Ovis aries: one gene and its partners. The protein of the gene in region 3 interacts with the protein of the main gene of each other region in a biochemical or structural test. Links are inferred from orthologs where the notes say so. Each region holds a gene or a part of one and is shown on either strand. Other genes may lie near its edges.

What was found.
Region 1: the proteins of TLN1 (region 3) and ITGB3 form a complex in vitro, tested with the Homo sapiens proteins (6 studies listed by BioGRID and IntAct, with this or other methods). The link is inferred for Ovis aries from reciprocal best matches to the Homo sapiens genes TLN1 and ITGB3.
Region 2: the proteins of TLN1 (region 3) and ITGB1 form a complex in vitro, tested with the Homo sapiens proteins (3 studies listed by BioGRID and IntAct, with this or other methods). The link is inferred for Ovis aries from reciprocal best matches to the Homo sapiens genes TLN1 and ITGB1.

Annotation. Positions count from the first base shown.
Region 1 is NC_056064.1:46,082,268-46,087,475, forward strand, and holds part of ITGB3 (integrin beta-3), read left to right. Parts: intron 1-1,529; coding exon 1,530-1,725; intron 1,726-3,133; coding exon 3,134-3,386; intron 3,387-5,208. UniProt on the Homo sapiens protein: Integrin alpha-V/beta-3 (ITGAV:ITGB3) is a receptor for cytotactin, fibronectin, laminin, matrix metalloproteinase-2, osteopontin, osteomodulin, prothrombin, thrombospondin, vitronectin and von Willebrand factor.
Region 2 is NC_056066.1:19,321,618-19,326,825, forward strand, and holds part of ITGB1 (integrin beta-1), read left to right. Parts: intron 1-474; coding exon 475-713; intron 714-2,735; coding exon 2,736-2,891; intron 2,892-3,629; coding exon 3,630-3,725; intron 3,726-4,015; coding exon 4,016-4,105; intron 4,106-5,208.
Region 3 is NC_056055.1:52,813,698-52,818,905, forward strand, and holds part of TLN1 (talin-1), read left to right. Parts: intron 1-3,913; 5' UTR 3,914-3,946; coding exon 3,947-4,076; intron 4,077-4,311; coding exon 4,312-4,409; intron 4,410-4,651; coding exon 4,652-4,781; intron 4,782-4,863; coding exon 4,864-5,016; intron 5,017-5,208. UniProt on the Homo sapiens protein: High molecular weight cytoskeletal protein concentrated at regions of cell-matrix and cell-cell contacts. Involved in connections of major cytoskeletal structures to the plasma membrane.

The DNA of each region.
Region 1 (5,208 bases), on a different chromosome or scaffold from region 3:
TCGCGCACTTACCCTATGGCAGGCACCATACCCTGTGTTTTACAGGTACTGCCTTATACTGTTGTCCTGTGGAACATCCTTGTGAATATGACGAAGCAAGGCCTGGAGAGTTTAGGTCACTTGCCCTGGTAACTAGCTAGTAAGAGGCAATGCTGAGCTGTGATCTCAGCCCATCTGTGCTCTTAGCTCCTACTTACTCTCTGTTCTCTCCCTGTATCCTCCCCTATCACCTTGGTGGCCAGCCTCAGATTGGGTGCTGGGAATAGAGGGGAAAAGAGATACACATAATCCCTGCTCTCATGGGTCTCACACCCCAGCAGTGTCTTAACACAGTGGCTTCCAAACTGTTTGGACCCTGACTCACAGAAAGTACATCGTCTTCCTCTCTTTCTTTTTTATTGGAGTATAATTGCTTTACAATGTTGTGTTAGTTTTTGCTGTACAACGAAGGGAATCAGTTCTATATATACATATATCCCTTCGCTCTTGCCTCCCTCCCACCCACCCCTCGTTGCAGAGCGCTGAGTTGAGCTTCCTGTGCTTTATGGCCTCCTACTTGCTATCTGTTTGACACATGGTAGTGTGTATGTCCATCCTGCTCTCCCAGTTTGTCCCACCCTCTGCTCCCCCAACTGTGTCAGCGTGTCTGTTCTCTATTTTGCATCTCTATTCCTGCCCTGGAAATTGGTTCATCTGTACCATCTTTCTAGATTCTACATATATGCATTGATATATATTTGTTTTTCTCTTACTTCACTCTGTATGACAGGCTCTAGGTCCATCCATATCCCTACAAATGACCCAATTTTGTTTCTTTTTATGTCTGAGTAATATTCCACAGTATATGTATACCATATTTATTATACAATTTATACCCCACTTCCCAATATGTAAACCTTTCACAAAATAATATTTACTTTTACTACTTATATACTTTGATACTTTCTATTCTGTTATGTTGTTGTTTAGTTGCTAAGTTGTTTCTGACTCTTTTGGGACACAATGGACTGTAGCCCACCAGGCTCCTCTATCCATGGGATTTCCCAGCAAGAATGCTGGAGTGGGTCACTGTTTCATTCTCCAGGAGATCTTCCTGACCCAGTGATCAAACTCCTGTATTGCAGGAAGATTCTTTACCACTGAGCCACCTGGGAAGACATTCTATTATGTTGTATTTTACTTAATTAGTAGGTAGTTGAAACCTACTATGTTGATTTTTCCAACCCACAGGTAGATTGCATTTTACAGTTTGAAAAACTGCCCAATAGGCATCTTATTGTACTGTCCCTCTTCTTACCTGCCAATCCAAGAACAGACACTCACCTAACCTTTCTGATGCCTCAATTTCCCCATTCTGTACAACAGGCCTAGGTACTGTCTTAGGAAGGACCACACGTGTTCACTGATGTTGGTTTAGCTCCAAAGTGCTGGGTAAGCTCTAGGCGGTCGGGAGGTGGCAGAGGCTGCAGGAAGCAGAGAGCCACCATTGGTCTGATCACAGGACTTGCCTCTGGACCTCTGTCTTACAGGCGCTGCCTCCAGGCTCGCCCCGCTGTAACCTGAAGGAGAACCTGCTGAAGGATAACTGCGCCCCAGAGTCCATCGAGTTCCCGATCAGTGAGGCCAGAATCCTGGAGGCCAGGCCCCTCAGTGACAAGGGCACTGGAGACAGCTCCCAGATTACCCAAGTCAGTCCCCAGAGGATTGCCCTCCGCCTACGGCCAGGTAGGAAGCCGGTGGATGTGGCTCATGAGGAAATTGTGGTGGGAAGAGAAGGATGTGGGGGGAGGTATGAGCAGGAGAATGGAAGCAAATGGAAGGCTTGGGGACCTGGAGTCCGAAGATCGGAGTTTGAATCTTCACTCTTCCATAGATTAGCTATTTGACCTTGGGAAAGTTATTTAACCCTGCTGACATTGTGATGCTTAGTCGCTAGGTCGCATCCCACTCTTTGTGACCCCATGTAGCCCACCAGGCTTCTGCGTCCATGGGATTTTCCAGGCAAGAGTACTGGAGTGGATTGCCATAAAAATGTCTGTTTCTTGTTTTCCTCAATGTCTGCTTTACCGAGTACATAGCTTTCTCTTGGGGCTCAAATGATATATAAGATGAGGAAGCAGTTTATAAGACCCTTTTCCATGTGAGATTGAGGCAAGGCCATGTATAGGGACAGAGAAAATAGGGGCGGGAGACCTTCAGAGGGGGTAAGGATTAGGCTAAGAGACAGGCTTTTCAAAGCACTGATACTGACTTTCCAATTAAATCAAGAATTTAAGAAAGAGCATTTTATGTGCAAGGCATGTGTTGGGTACCTTGCGATTCAGAGAAGAGTGGAACACAGTTCCTCCCTTTACAGAGTTCGGAATGTAGTAACTGCCAACACTTCTGTGATCCTGGGTAGTAAACCCTTGGGACCCAGGGATTAGACAGATGGGGATTTAGAGACAGTGAAGACTTTTAGAATGGAAAAGAAGAGGTTAAAAATAGGAGAGTTAAGAGACTGAAAGAGTAATAGAATTGCAAGGGGAAAGAGGAACGAGGGCTTTCAAGTTCGGTTTGCTCAAGAAGTTACTTCAGGGAATTCCCTGGTGGTCCAGTGGTTAGGACTTGTCACTTTTACTGTGGTGGCCTGGGTTCAGTCCCTGGTCAGGGAACTAAGATCCCATAAGCCACATGGCACAGCAAAACACAAAACAAAACAAAAATTTGCTTCATCCTAAATATGTCCAAAGGCTTCCCTGATAGCTCAGCTAGTAAGGAATCCACCTGCAATGCAGGAGACTCTGGTTCCATTCCTGGGTCAGGAAGATCCCCTGGAGAAGGGATAGGCTACCCACTCCAGTATTCATAGGCTTCCCTGGTGGCTTAGATGGTAAAGAATCTGCCTGTGGGAGACCTGGGTTTGATTTCTGGGTTGGGAAGATCCCCTGGAGGAGGACATGGCAACCCACTCCAGTATTCTTGCCTGGAGAATCCCATGGGTAGAGGATCCTGGCAGTTTACAGTCCACAGGGTGGCAAAGAGTCGGACACAACTGAGCAACTGAGCACAGCACAGCCCAGCAAATATGTCCAAATCTGCTTAAGTCTTAGAGGAAGAAGAGGAGAAAACTTAATGTCCTTCTGCCTTACAGATGATTCGAAGATTTTCTCCGTCCAAGTTCGGCAGGTGGAAGATTACCCTGTGGACATCTACTACTTAATGGACTTGTCTTACTCCATGAAGGATGACCTGCGGAACATCCAGAACCTGGGTACCAAGCTGGCCTCCCAGATGCGGAAGCTCACCAGTAACCTGCGGATTGGCTTCGGGGCCTTTGTGGACAAGCCCGTGTCACCATACATGTATATTTCTCCACCAGAGGCTATCAGAAACCCTTGCTATGAGTAAGTCTCCCCTGTAGAAGCCAGGGTAGCATCTCTTCCCATTGCCCCACATGTGCCCAAGTCCTGCTTCTTATTTCTACCTCCAGGTTGGCTTTGTTGGCTGCCTTCTGGCCACATTGTTTCTCCTCTTTACCAAGGTCTCCCTGTCTGGCAAGTGGGCTGACCCACTGACTGTGTTAATAGTTAATAATCAACCAAAATTGTTAATAATAAACAAGGCTATTTGGAGACCTAGAAAGGAAATTCATTAGCTTCCCGGTCTAGGTCACAAATAAATAGTAGACAAGAGAGAATAAAAGAGAAATGAGACCAAACGTAGAGAGAGAACTTTATGGATAAGTAAATAGAGGAGTTATGATTTCAGAATGATTGATTCCATTGTTATTGTCCTCCTTATCTAGAAGATGGGTCCTACAGAGTTAAAATGCAAGGAATTAAGTCCTAGAGGAATATAAAAGGGTGGAAATGATATTTATTGAACCATCTAGCATAAATGGATGTGTCCCTACTTTGAGACTTTGGCTTAAAACTGAATGGTTTATTTATTTAATTGGTGGAGAGACTATGCAAATTCATGAATTATAATTTAAAATAATGGTTATCAAGTCTGTCAGGGTACGGCTTTACTTTTTAGATTTGAGAGTTATGTGGGTTGTAAGTTTACCCAGTAAGGATGTCAACCGTGAGTTAAAGAAATAAACCAATGGAGTGGGGACAGAAAAAAAAAAAAACCAAAACAACTATGTCCTGTTTGACACAGATCTATTAATTTATTGATAGCTCAGAGACATAAAGTTATTGATGAACTTTTGCTTATTATGTTAATGTTACTTTAGAGAAGTGTTGAGTATAAGCTATTAGCAATAGCAACCAAAGCCTCACTCTGATCTGAGAACCTTCCCCATGTTAACTCACTTAAACCTTACAGCTAAAAGATGCATGCTCCTTGGAAGAAAAGCTATGACAAACCTAGACAGTGTATTAAAAAGCAAAGACATTACTTTGCCAACAAAGGTCCGTAGAGTCAAAAAAATCTGTATAATCAAAGCTATGGTTTTTCCAGTAGTCATGTATGGATGTGAGTTGGTCCATAAAGAAGGCTGAGTGCTGAAGAATTGATGCTTTCAAACTGTGGTGTTGGAGAAGACTTGAGAGTCCTTTGGACAGCAAGGAGATCAAACCTGTCAATCCTAAAGGAAATCAGTCCTGAATATTCATTGGAAGGACTGATGCTGAAGCTCCAATACTTTGGCTACCTGATACAAAGAGCTGACTCATAGGAAAAGACCGTGATGCTGGGAAAGATTGAAGGCAGGAGGAGAAGGGGACAACAGGGGATTTGATGGTTGGATGGCATCACTGACTCAATGGATATGAGTTTGAGCAAGCTCTGGGAGTTGGTGGTGGGCAGGGAAGCCTGGTGTGCTGCAGTCCATGGGGTTGCAAAGAGTTGGACACAACTGAGCGACTGAACAACAAGGCTTCACAACAACCCTTACTAGCTATCATGTCCCCATTTGTTTTATAGGTTAGGAATAGAGAAGCTTGCCTAGGGTTCCATGACTAGTAAGTCAAGGAACTGGGATTTGAATCAAGGGAGTCTAGTTCCACAGTTTACCCTCTTCTCCTCTGAGCTAGGTGGAGGTTAGCTCAACGTGATGCCTAGGTAATTTGAAGGGTTGAGAGTCTAAACTCTCTGGATAATTCTAGCTTCATAGAACTGGACTGGGTATACCACTTTCCACATCTCTCTCCCACTTTTCCCTCCCATTCCCCAAGTAGTCTTTTCTCCACCCTTATCCCTGGCTACACTGCATGGCAT
Region 2 (5,208 bases), on a different chromosome or scaffold from region 3:
CTTTTTCTTTCTGAGAGGACTGATACTCCTGTCACATGGCGAATGATTTTTCTGCCTCCTTGTTCCTCTTTTACTGTAAAAAACGAAGAGTCACTCAGTTGTGTCTGACTCTTGGTGACTGTGGACTGTAGCTCGCCAGGCTTCTCTGTCATGGAATTTCCCAGGCAAGAATACTGGAGTGAGTTTCCATTCCCTTCTCCAGGGGATCTTCCTGACCCAAGGATGGAACCTGGATCTCATGGATTGCAGGCAGATTCTTTACCATCTGAGCCCCCAGGGGAGCCCTTCTTACTGGCTTCCATGTTATTTGACACACATTATACCACACAGATAATAAACTGCAGGTTTGTTGTTACAGGAATATATTCATTCATTTGTTGATCTTATAAACATGTTGATTACTTAGACTTGATTTTTTAATGCAGTTTAACCATCCACCCTCCATCATCACTGCATGTGCATTTTCCTCCACAGGGTTTGGCTCTTTCGTGGAGAAAACTGTGATGCCTTACATTAGCACAACACCAGCTAAACTCAGGAACCCTTGCACAAATGAACAGAACTGCACGAGCCCATTTAGCTACAAAAATGTGCTCAGCCTTACTGATAAAGGGGAAGTATTTAATGAACTTGTTGGTAAGCAGCGCATATCTGGAAATTTGGATTCACCAGAAGGTGGCTTTGATGCAATCATGCAAGTTGCAGTTTGTGGAGTGAGTGCATTTATTCTCTACAAGGGGATATTATTTGTGTGGATTTTAAGTGTGATTTTTCTGTCAGAAAATATTACCTTAATTTCTATATCATACTGATTAATCCCTTAAATTCCCTCCCAACTGCAAGTGGTTTAAAAAAACGCATAGTTAATCCGGGTTTTAAAAGCCAAAATGCACACCATTTGAAACAGTGGGGCAGTGTAGCTTTAGCTGGTGTTCTGGGTTTTTTAAAGAGGCTCAGGGAACCCTGGCTTTCCAGCTTTGTGACTGAGATGGTATTGGGGTTATCTGAGACGTCACCAGGAACATTAAAAGTGCTCAAATAGATTGTGTCAGACACCATCTTCCTTTGGTTAGTTTTCTTCTGCTTATCTTTGAGAGGCATCGTCCCCATGTCTTAGTAATTTAAAAAGAAAGTTTTAAGTCCTAGTTTGAAAGCTGTATGAGAATAGATATTCTGAGAAGTCATATAATGTTTGTAATTTTAATTACAAGATTTTCAGTGACAGTAAGCTGATCCTCCATTGGACTGGTGGTTAGAATTTTTTGACCCATTTACCAGCCAAAAATTTTAGGTGACCTTTTAATGATGTAGCTGAGGACGGAAGTAGAAAACATTGTGAACTAGATGAAGTTTTATCTGTCTCATTTCCTCCTCTTTTTCTTTATAGTACCCCTGTGCCCTAAAAGACCTTTCTCTTCCAGATGCTTCTTAATGGTTACTTTTCAACCAAGTTTTAGTATGCTATTTGATACCCAAGATGATAATATAATACAGTGCTTGAGATAACGGTCTTTAGCCTGTTAGGACAAAGCTTCAAATGTTCCCATCACTGCTCATCCACTAGGCAATTTCCTTGCCATTCTAGAGGGCTGTTTCCTTCTCCTTAAGAGATAATAACAGATACACGTTAGAAAGTTTAAATACGGTAATCCATAGATAGTGCAAGTAGCCAACAAACAGTTAACAACTGTATTGTGGTCACTCTTGACTTCTCATCAGGGTAGATGCAGTTTAAGGATAGTCTCCACTTTTAAAGGAGAAGAGTAGTTTTCCAGGTGGTGCCTACCTTGATGCCTGTTTCCTCTCCAGCCGTTCATTTGTGATCCTGCTAGAAGCTCATATGGAGAAAGCATTCTCTGCACTGTCTCTGCCTGAACCTCAGCCTTGAGATTAAAACAGGCCATGGTATCCTGGCTGCTGCTTTCTGCTCCCTGTGCTGACTGAGAGTAACTGTTCCACTTACTTCTCTAAATGCAGAAGAGACATATTCCAGTTGGTCTGTCAGCATGCATAAACTTAATTCTTGCCTTCAAGGATTTTATAGTCTTAGGAAGATATATACAGATGTATGGAGTAAATAAAGACAGATGATTATAAAATTACTATTCAAGAGGATTTTACCACCACTTTAAATTTTTTGCTGAATAAGGTGGAGAATAAAATAAATGAACAAACAGTACTGATGGATTAAAAGGGGTGGAATTAAGCAGGGTCAAGTCTTTGAAGAAAATGCTTTTTTTTATAATTAAAAAGGGGAGGCTTTTTTTTAATATGGTGGCTGATAAAGGGAGTATATGCTCCAGAAGGTGGAGTAGGTATGGATGGGAAGGGGAGATAACAGTGTTTAGATAAAGTTGAGTGTGGGCTGAGACATTTTCGTTATTCATTAAGCACCTAGTAGAGATAAGATGATGCACAAAACCAGATGTGGTCCCTGCCCTGCTTGGAGTGGAGCTACCTTTTAATGGGGAGAAGGACATTGACTTTAAAAGGTAGTTTTTAAAAAAAGAGCTGAGACAGACAGATAGGCAAGGTGAAGTGTTATAGTGAGGCGAGGGAGTTTTATTCAGTGGGCTCAGTGCCTTTATCAGCAAGGATGTTATTAGCATTGTGAAAAGAGAAAATACAGAATTAAGTTGAAAGTATAGTGGTAGCCTATATAAAGATGAAAAGATTTAATCTTTGCTGAATTTCTGTAGCTAGTATTTTAAAATTGAAATCCTTTTCTTTTCAAGTCACTGATTGGTTGGAGGAATGTGACACGGCTGCTGGTGTTTTCCACGGATGCTGGGTTTCACTTTGCTGGAGATGGGAAACTTGGTGGCATTGTTTTACCGAATGATGGACAGTGTCACCTGGAAAATGATATGTACACAATGAGCCATTATTATGTAAGTGCTTAGTGCCTTACATTTAAGTGGATTCGGGTTTTTAGAGTATTATGGGTAATGGGCTTGTGGGTTTTCAGGATTGGGGTTCTGTTATTTTGGTAAGTTGGGCCCTGACCTAATGTGCAGGAAAGCTTTGTTGCTGTTCTGAGGCTGTGGCTTTGTGCCTGCTTCCTTCCGAGTAGCTGAGGGCCTGGTGGTTAACGGAGCTGCTGACTCCTGGCCCTGCACCCCAGCCCAAAGCTCTGTCTCCTCTTGCTTGGTCCATCAAGGGATAGCAAGTTTGATACTGAGTCTAAACAAATCATTTGTATAGTCTTACACTCCTTGTCTTATTTATATACGATCTAAGAAAGTAGGCATCCTGCCTCTACGGAAAACAAACATTGGCAGTTTGTTTAAGGTCTGGAAGAAACCTAAACCTTGCTGAATCTTGGTCTTTTTCTTAGTGATAATATACCTTTTATTATGTCAATTCTTCAATTTCATTGTTCTGACATCTAATATACATAGATAATCTTTTAAAAATCTTTTTTATTGAAATTTTTGTGTACACATAAAGATAGAAAAGGATTAGAAACCCATTAGACAGCACCCAGTTCAGCAATAATTTGTGGTGTTTCAGGCAATCTTGCATAAGTAATCCAGATATATTTGCAAATCATTATTTTCAGAAAGTATTGAAAAACTGGAGTATATTGGATATAATTACATACTAAATTTTATTACTTAATTTCTTAGGATTATCCTTCTATTGCTCACCTTGTCCAGAAACTAAGCGAAAATAACATTCAGACAATTTTTGCAGTTACTGAAGAATTTCAGCCTGTTTACAAGGTAAATATATACGTGTGGGATTAAAATAGGAACACATTTTTAGATCCTTATTGTTTAGTCATCAAAGGCAAAATGATATGTCTGAATTGAAATGTGGGAAAATGTCATCATATAGAAAGGCTAGATTTTACAAACGTGGTATTAATTTTAATTACATTGCAAAACTAGTTGTTTTTAGGTCTGACTCCTTATTTAGGATATATATCAAGAAATGGTTTTTAAAAATAGATAGTAGGTACTCAGTAGATGCTAATTAGTCAAGTTTTATAGGTTTTATCTTTTAATTGCAGGAACTGAAAAATTTGATCCCTAAGTCAGCGGTAGGAACATTATCTGCAAATTCCAGCAATGTGATTCAGTTGATCATCGATGCGTACAATGTGAGTGCATTTTAAGTAAGATCTGTTTTGGGCAGTACCCTGTTGAGAATACTTTGCTCAAAAAAAGTAAAACTCCTTTCATACACAATTTAGCAGGCCCTAGAAGACAATGTAAAACTTGTAAGTAAAATTCTGTATATGGAGGAAAAACTCATTCTCTTACAAAAATGTGTTTGCAAGGCAAAATAAAAGGCATGGTGGCGGGTGGATTTCTAAATTGTTTGAATGTCATTGAGTAATTCTCCTTTTTGGAAAACAAGTATGAAACAACTTCCATTTAGATTTATAGGATTACCTCAGTCTTCTTTACTTCCCTTCATTTTACAGATTCATTGATTTTGATGAATTGTGCCAGAAACCCTTTTTTTTTTCCTAATTCTTCTCTTGCCATATTTTTAGGGTACATAGTTCTCTGTTCTCAAGTGGTACACACACAGTCATATGTGCATGTACCATAAAATATATATGAATACATACATGACTTATTAAAGTAAGATTTGTAAGATTTTCACCCCACGTGGAAGGAAGTTGAAATTAAAGAGGAATTGTTCATCTTGAGTTTAGTTCTGGGTGCTTTAGGGATACTCACTCATTAAGCCTTGGTCAGTAACTGTTGTAAGTCATCGGAGGCCTTTGTAATACAACTGTAACTGTCCTGTGCTGCATACACCAGCTCCAGCCCTTTGACAAGTTGAATTTTATTTTCTACCTCATGCCAGGGGACACCCTACACAGATTTTTACAGACGTTCTAGATTCCGTTTTTTCCCTGTCACCCCAGAGTCGTTCTGTCTTTACAGCATATCTTAATGCTTTCCTAACTCCTTCTGCGGAGTGGTGTGACCAGGACCGAGCTCGCTGCTGCAGTCTTCTCCATTTGTCCTGCGCCCTCTGCTGTTCTACAAAAGCACTGGCTTGAATCCTCCCACTCTGGGTTTTCTTTCTTTGAGAGAGTGGGGGCAGGCCTGCAATGGCCCCTAAGCAGATTTGTTTCCAGCCTATGTAGTAGATTATTTACCTTTGTCTTCAGTGAGCTGAGGCTTCCCTGATGGCTCAGACGGTAAAGAATCTGCCTGCAATGCAGGAGACCCAAGTTTGATCCCT
Region 3 (5,208 bases):
CTGACCTCATTCCCTGTCTTAGCCTGGATTCACGTAATTGTTCTTCCTCTTCCCCCAGGCTGATTCAGTAACTTATTATATCCCTATTTTTCCTACTGTTATCTTCCTTAGCTTGTCCTTGCATTTTTCTCTTCCCCCATTTCCAGTCTGGTAGTAGTCACTAAGCCCATCCTTTCTGCCCCTACCTGACTGCTAACTGCATCCCCTAAGGCAGCCTCATGTTTGCATTCTTACCTCCCCCTGTCCTTTCTTTCCCCTCTCCCCAGTACCTTACCTAAATTCAGGTACTTTGAAGTACCTGCTGATGACTGGAAGCTGTGGGCTTCCAGCCTCTCTTTGGGCCCTGGTTCCTGAGTTAAGCCTGCCATCAGATCCTGTTGGTTCTACCTCTTCAAATTTCTGATGAGTGGCATCCTCTCCTCCATTCTAATTCTGGCTTCATTGCCTCCGACTTGTGCCAGTGCAGGGTCTTTATAACTAACCTCCCTGGTAGCTACTGGAGTGAGTTTCCTGAAGTCTAGTTCTGGTTGTGCCCCTTTTCTGATCATCGCCTCCCTTGGCCTCCTGTTGCCCTCTTGTAGGTGAAATCCCGCATCTTCCTCCTGAGTCCACCCCTGCCTTTCCATCCTAACCTTGACTTCCCCATCACTGCTTACTTGCAGGTACCCTGTGCTTCAACCAGCCTGCTCCTCACTTCCCTGAATGCTCCTCCGTGATTTCCTGCTTTTCCACCTTTGCTTATGCTATTCTCTCTGCCTGGAATGCCACCCCTGACTCATCTCCAGCTGGCTGGAATAGTGGAGAGAGCTTGGGCTTTGGAGTCAGAAAGACCTGGGTTTGGATCCTGGCTTCACAACTTATTAGCTGTGTGACTTTGGACAAGCACCTTTGAGCCTGAGTTTCCTAATCTGTAAAAATGGAAATAACGACACCTACCTTGCAGGGTTGTTGTAAGGATTAAATGAAATTGTGTACACAAAGCAATTGACATATTGTCAATAAAAGATAGATCATTGTTTTTTCTTATTATCTTTTTTGTTTAAATCTTAACTTCAAATGACACTTTTCATGGAGACATTTTAGTCCCCTTTGCCTGACCTGAAAGGGATCTCTCCTATGAGCGCATACTGTTTGGTTCTTACCTCATTCTGCCTTCTATTATAACTCTGTATGTAGCTATCCACTCTGCTGAGGGCAGACGTGAGTGCTTACCCTTCTTGGTTCCCAGCCACTGAGAACCAGGGCCTTCCCCACAACAGACCCTCAGAACTGCTCACTGGAAGACTGGAAGGAGAAAGCCCACAAGAGAGACATTGGGACTGAGTGTTGTGTGCTTGACGACAGAGGTGGAGTCTTTATGGGAAGATAACGTTGTTGTGATGGAGCTGTGTAGGGGCTGTGTGCTTGAGATAATGTGTATGTATGTAGAGACTATAAGTAACTTTGTAGGAAAGAGCTCAATGCATAGGCTGGGGTACATTTAGGGAGAATGAATATTCATGGATCAGGATGGAGGTAGGCAAGGGTTATGCTGGGGGAGGTCAGGTCCAGCCCTTCAGCTGCCCAGTCCAGCCCTAAATGAGCCTGCCGCAGCCTGAGGCCGGATATGTCAGTCTCACCCACAGCCCTCCCCTCCTCCCCGCGGTTACAGACTCAGAGGCCAAATTTGGTAACAGACTTGAGTGTTACTCCCCCCAACCCTCTTACATTCTGAGTCTGTCTTCAGCTTTCTCTCTCCCTCTGTCCCTCTCTGTAACTCCCTGTCTCTCGGCAGCTCCCTCTGTAGGTATCTGCTCTGACTATATTCTCTATGTCCCCCAAATTCCTTACCCCCAGTACACTTACATTCCATTCCTTGCTGGGATTTGACCTCTGTCCTCTATCCTCCCCCCACCTCCACCCCCCCCAATTGCCCAACTCCTCTGGAATGCATCTCAGGAATGTCTTGAGGGAGGAGGAGCTCTCTGGGAGGGGGACATGGTGGGGGGGAATTGTTGCTGTTCCATAAAACATGACAGAAAGTAGAAAGGGGAGCACAGTTCTCCAGCCGGAACAGGAACTGGATAGCTTCTCCCCTTACTTCCAGGGGCCCGCTTCTGTGCTCTCATTGCCCCCAACTCATTTGATTCCTTTTGCTCCTTCACCCACTTGTAGCTGTGTGGGTGTCCACTCAGGACCAGCTTGAAAGTGATGGTAGCCATGAGTCAACTCCCTTATCGGGGGCTCAACAGAGGTTTCCGTGCTTAAGGAGGAAGGGGGGTGTCCATATATCCGGAGGAAATTGGGGGAGATGTGCAGTTTCAGCTGAGGGTGGAAGGTCTTTTCAGTGTGTCCTTGGCTTGACAGACCTTCCAGCCTTCCAGTGACCCTACAGCCAGGTCTGTCCAGCTCTCGGGAGAGGTGTGCCAGGGATGGGGAGGGGGGCAGAGACCTAGAACTGGGGAGAGTGGGAGGGTCCCCTCTTGTTGGGAGTAAGGATTGAGGGCGAGCTATGGTTTCTTCTTTTTGGAGACTCGAGATTATTTATAAGGTCAGAAATTGTCTGTCAGACTCCTGATCCAGACCTTTGCCACATCTGCCTCCTGTCTCCTGTTTCTACCTAGATTTTCAACCTCTCCTCATCTCTTCACCCTCCAAAAACACACCCCTCCCCAGCTTCCCTGGTTCTCAGCTGCTGCCTCTGTTTCCCACCTTCTGCTTCTAAGACCCCAACCTCCGCTTCCAAGCTTCCCTCTAGCTGTGCTTTCTCCCCCTTGGGGCTAGCAGTTTGCAGAGAGGGGAATGGGCTGCCTGGGTGTGCGCACCTCTCTTAGGTAGGAGGCACCAATCCCTGGACGGAGCTGGTCACATCATCAGCTGCCAGGCAGACTTGTTGTCTGGTGCTCTGTGCGCCACCTGCCACCTCCATGGAGGGTGGAGCCTGGAGGGCGGCGGAAGGCTGGGTGGGACTAAGACACTGTCAGGAGAGGCAGCTGAGCTGGAGGGCAGTGTTTGAGAAGGACTTACTGAAGAGGACAGAGCATAGGAGGAGTTATGGTGAGAACTGGGTATTAACCTGCTATCTTAGAAGGAGCAAGGCCTGAGGAGTTAAGAGGGACTGGGCTCTCTCTCTGAGCTGCCTTGAAACACACACATATCCAGTCTGATTCCCCTTCTGCAAAATTAAAGAGTTGGCTAGATCACTTTTGAGATCCCCTTGGATTAGAAAAACCATGATTCTGGCTTGACTGCTGGGGGAGCCAAATGTGGACCGAGCTGCTCTGGGAGGCCCCCAGCATGTCAAGTTACTGGAGAGCTGAGACACGTAAGCCAGGATGGCTTGAACAGCAGTGTTGGGCCTCCCTGCCAGACTAGCTCAAGTCAGTGTTTGCAGGGCTCAAGAGCCCTTGGGGATTATCTAATATAACGTCTTCATTCTGCAAAGAAGAAGAATAAAGCTGTGAGAGGAAAGATCACGTGATGAGTCAGGGCAGCGCTCTGGAAATCCCAGACAGGGAGAAGTCAGAAGGATATAGTAAGAGACAAAGAGAAAAAGACTGAACCAGGAAGGGTGAAAATAGGGCAGAGACAGGACTGGGAAAGGAGGTGAGCAGGGACAAGGGTAAGAGAGAAACACTTGGAAGAAAGAAGGGAGGCCTAGATTCCAGTGCTGGGGGTGGGGTGGTGTCCTCAGGTAACACTGTTTCAGACCTGCCTTTGTGCCTTGCAGACCAGCCTCTCCTTCAGAGGTCTCAGACACCTAAGACTAGTCCTTTTGATACAGCTTATCTTTCACTCTTTAATATCATTAAATAAAACAAGAACACACTCACACTGTTTTCTGCTTTGGTGACTCCCTTTCCCGGTTCTCCATGTGGGGGGCCTCCTCTCCTCCAGTGAGGGTGTATTCTAATGCCCTGATGCCATGGGCCAGGTATAGCCAGGCTGGAGAGAAGAAGCCGCCACCATGGTTGCGCTTTCGCTGAAGATCAGCATTGGGAATGTGGTGAAGACGATGCAATTCGAGCCGTCTACCATGGTGTATGACGCCTGTCGGATCATCCGTGAACGGATCCCAGAGGCCCTGTCTGGCCCTCGTGAGTCTGACTGCCCAGGTGGCTGGGGCGGGAGCCCTGGTCCCTTCTTGTTCCCAGGCTCTTGGCCTTGGGAGATGACTCTGTTGGCCTCTCATCTCTCAGGTCTGTGTTCCTTGGGCCCCGCCCTCCTCTTTAGGCCCAGGATCACTGGGAAGGTAATAAGGGGTAGTGGAGTAGCCATTCAGCTACATTGGGGTTTTTCTTTAAGCCTAAGCTGACCCATCTTCTCTTTTAGCCAGCGACTTTGGGCTGTTTCTGTCAGATGATGACCCCAAAAAGGGTATATGGCTGGAGGCCGGGAAGGCTTTGGATTACTACATGCTCCGAAATGGGGTGAGTATCACTTCACAAGGACCACCAATATCCTCTGCCATCACTTCCCTCCTTCTGCCTCCTATTCAGCACCCATATCTGTTGTCTTTGAGCTCTCCCATGCTTTCTAATAATAGGCAGTCATAAGACTGTTTTCACGCAGTCTTCCTTTTAGTAATCTACTTTCCTTCCCTCTCTGGCTGCCTAAAAAGAAAGTAATATCTTTAGCTTAAAGTGGGCCTCTCCTGTTCCTGACCCAATAGGACACCATGGAGTACAGGAAGAAACAGAGGCCCTTGAAGATCCGCATGCTGGACGGCACCGTGAAGACTGTCATGGTGGACGACTCGAAGACTGTCACCGACATGCTCATGACCATCTGTGCCCGCATTGGTAAGGGGCGTGCGGGGCTGGGGGCTCAGAAGGAGGCCTAAAAACTCTGCTGGGGATGCTACCAACCCACCCCCTCCCCCAGGCATCACCAACCATGATGAATATTCACTGGTTCGAGAGATTATGGAAGAGAAGAAGGAGGAGGTGACAGGGACCTTACGAAAGGACAAGACACTGCTGCGAGACGAAAAGAAGATGGAGAAACTGAAGCAGAAGTTGCACACAGATGACGAGTGTAAGCAGAAGGGGACTGGCGAGGGCATTTGAAACAACTGGGGTGTCGGGGGCAGCCATTTCTACATTATTTTCTGAGTTTTCTTTTGCAAGGTACTGTTTAAACACTGGGGCTGCATCTGTGGTAAAACAAAGTCCTATGCTCATGGAATGGAACGTATTACTGAGAGGGTGGGACATGAAGAAACAAAAA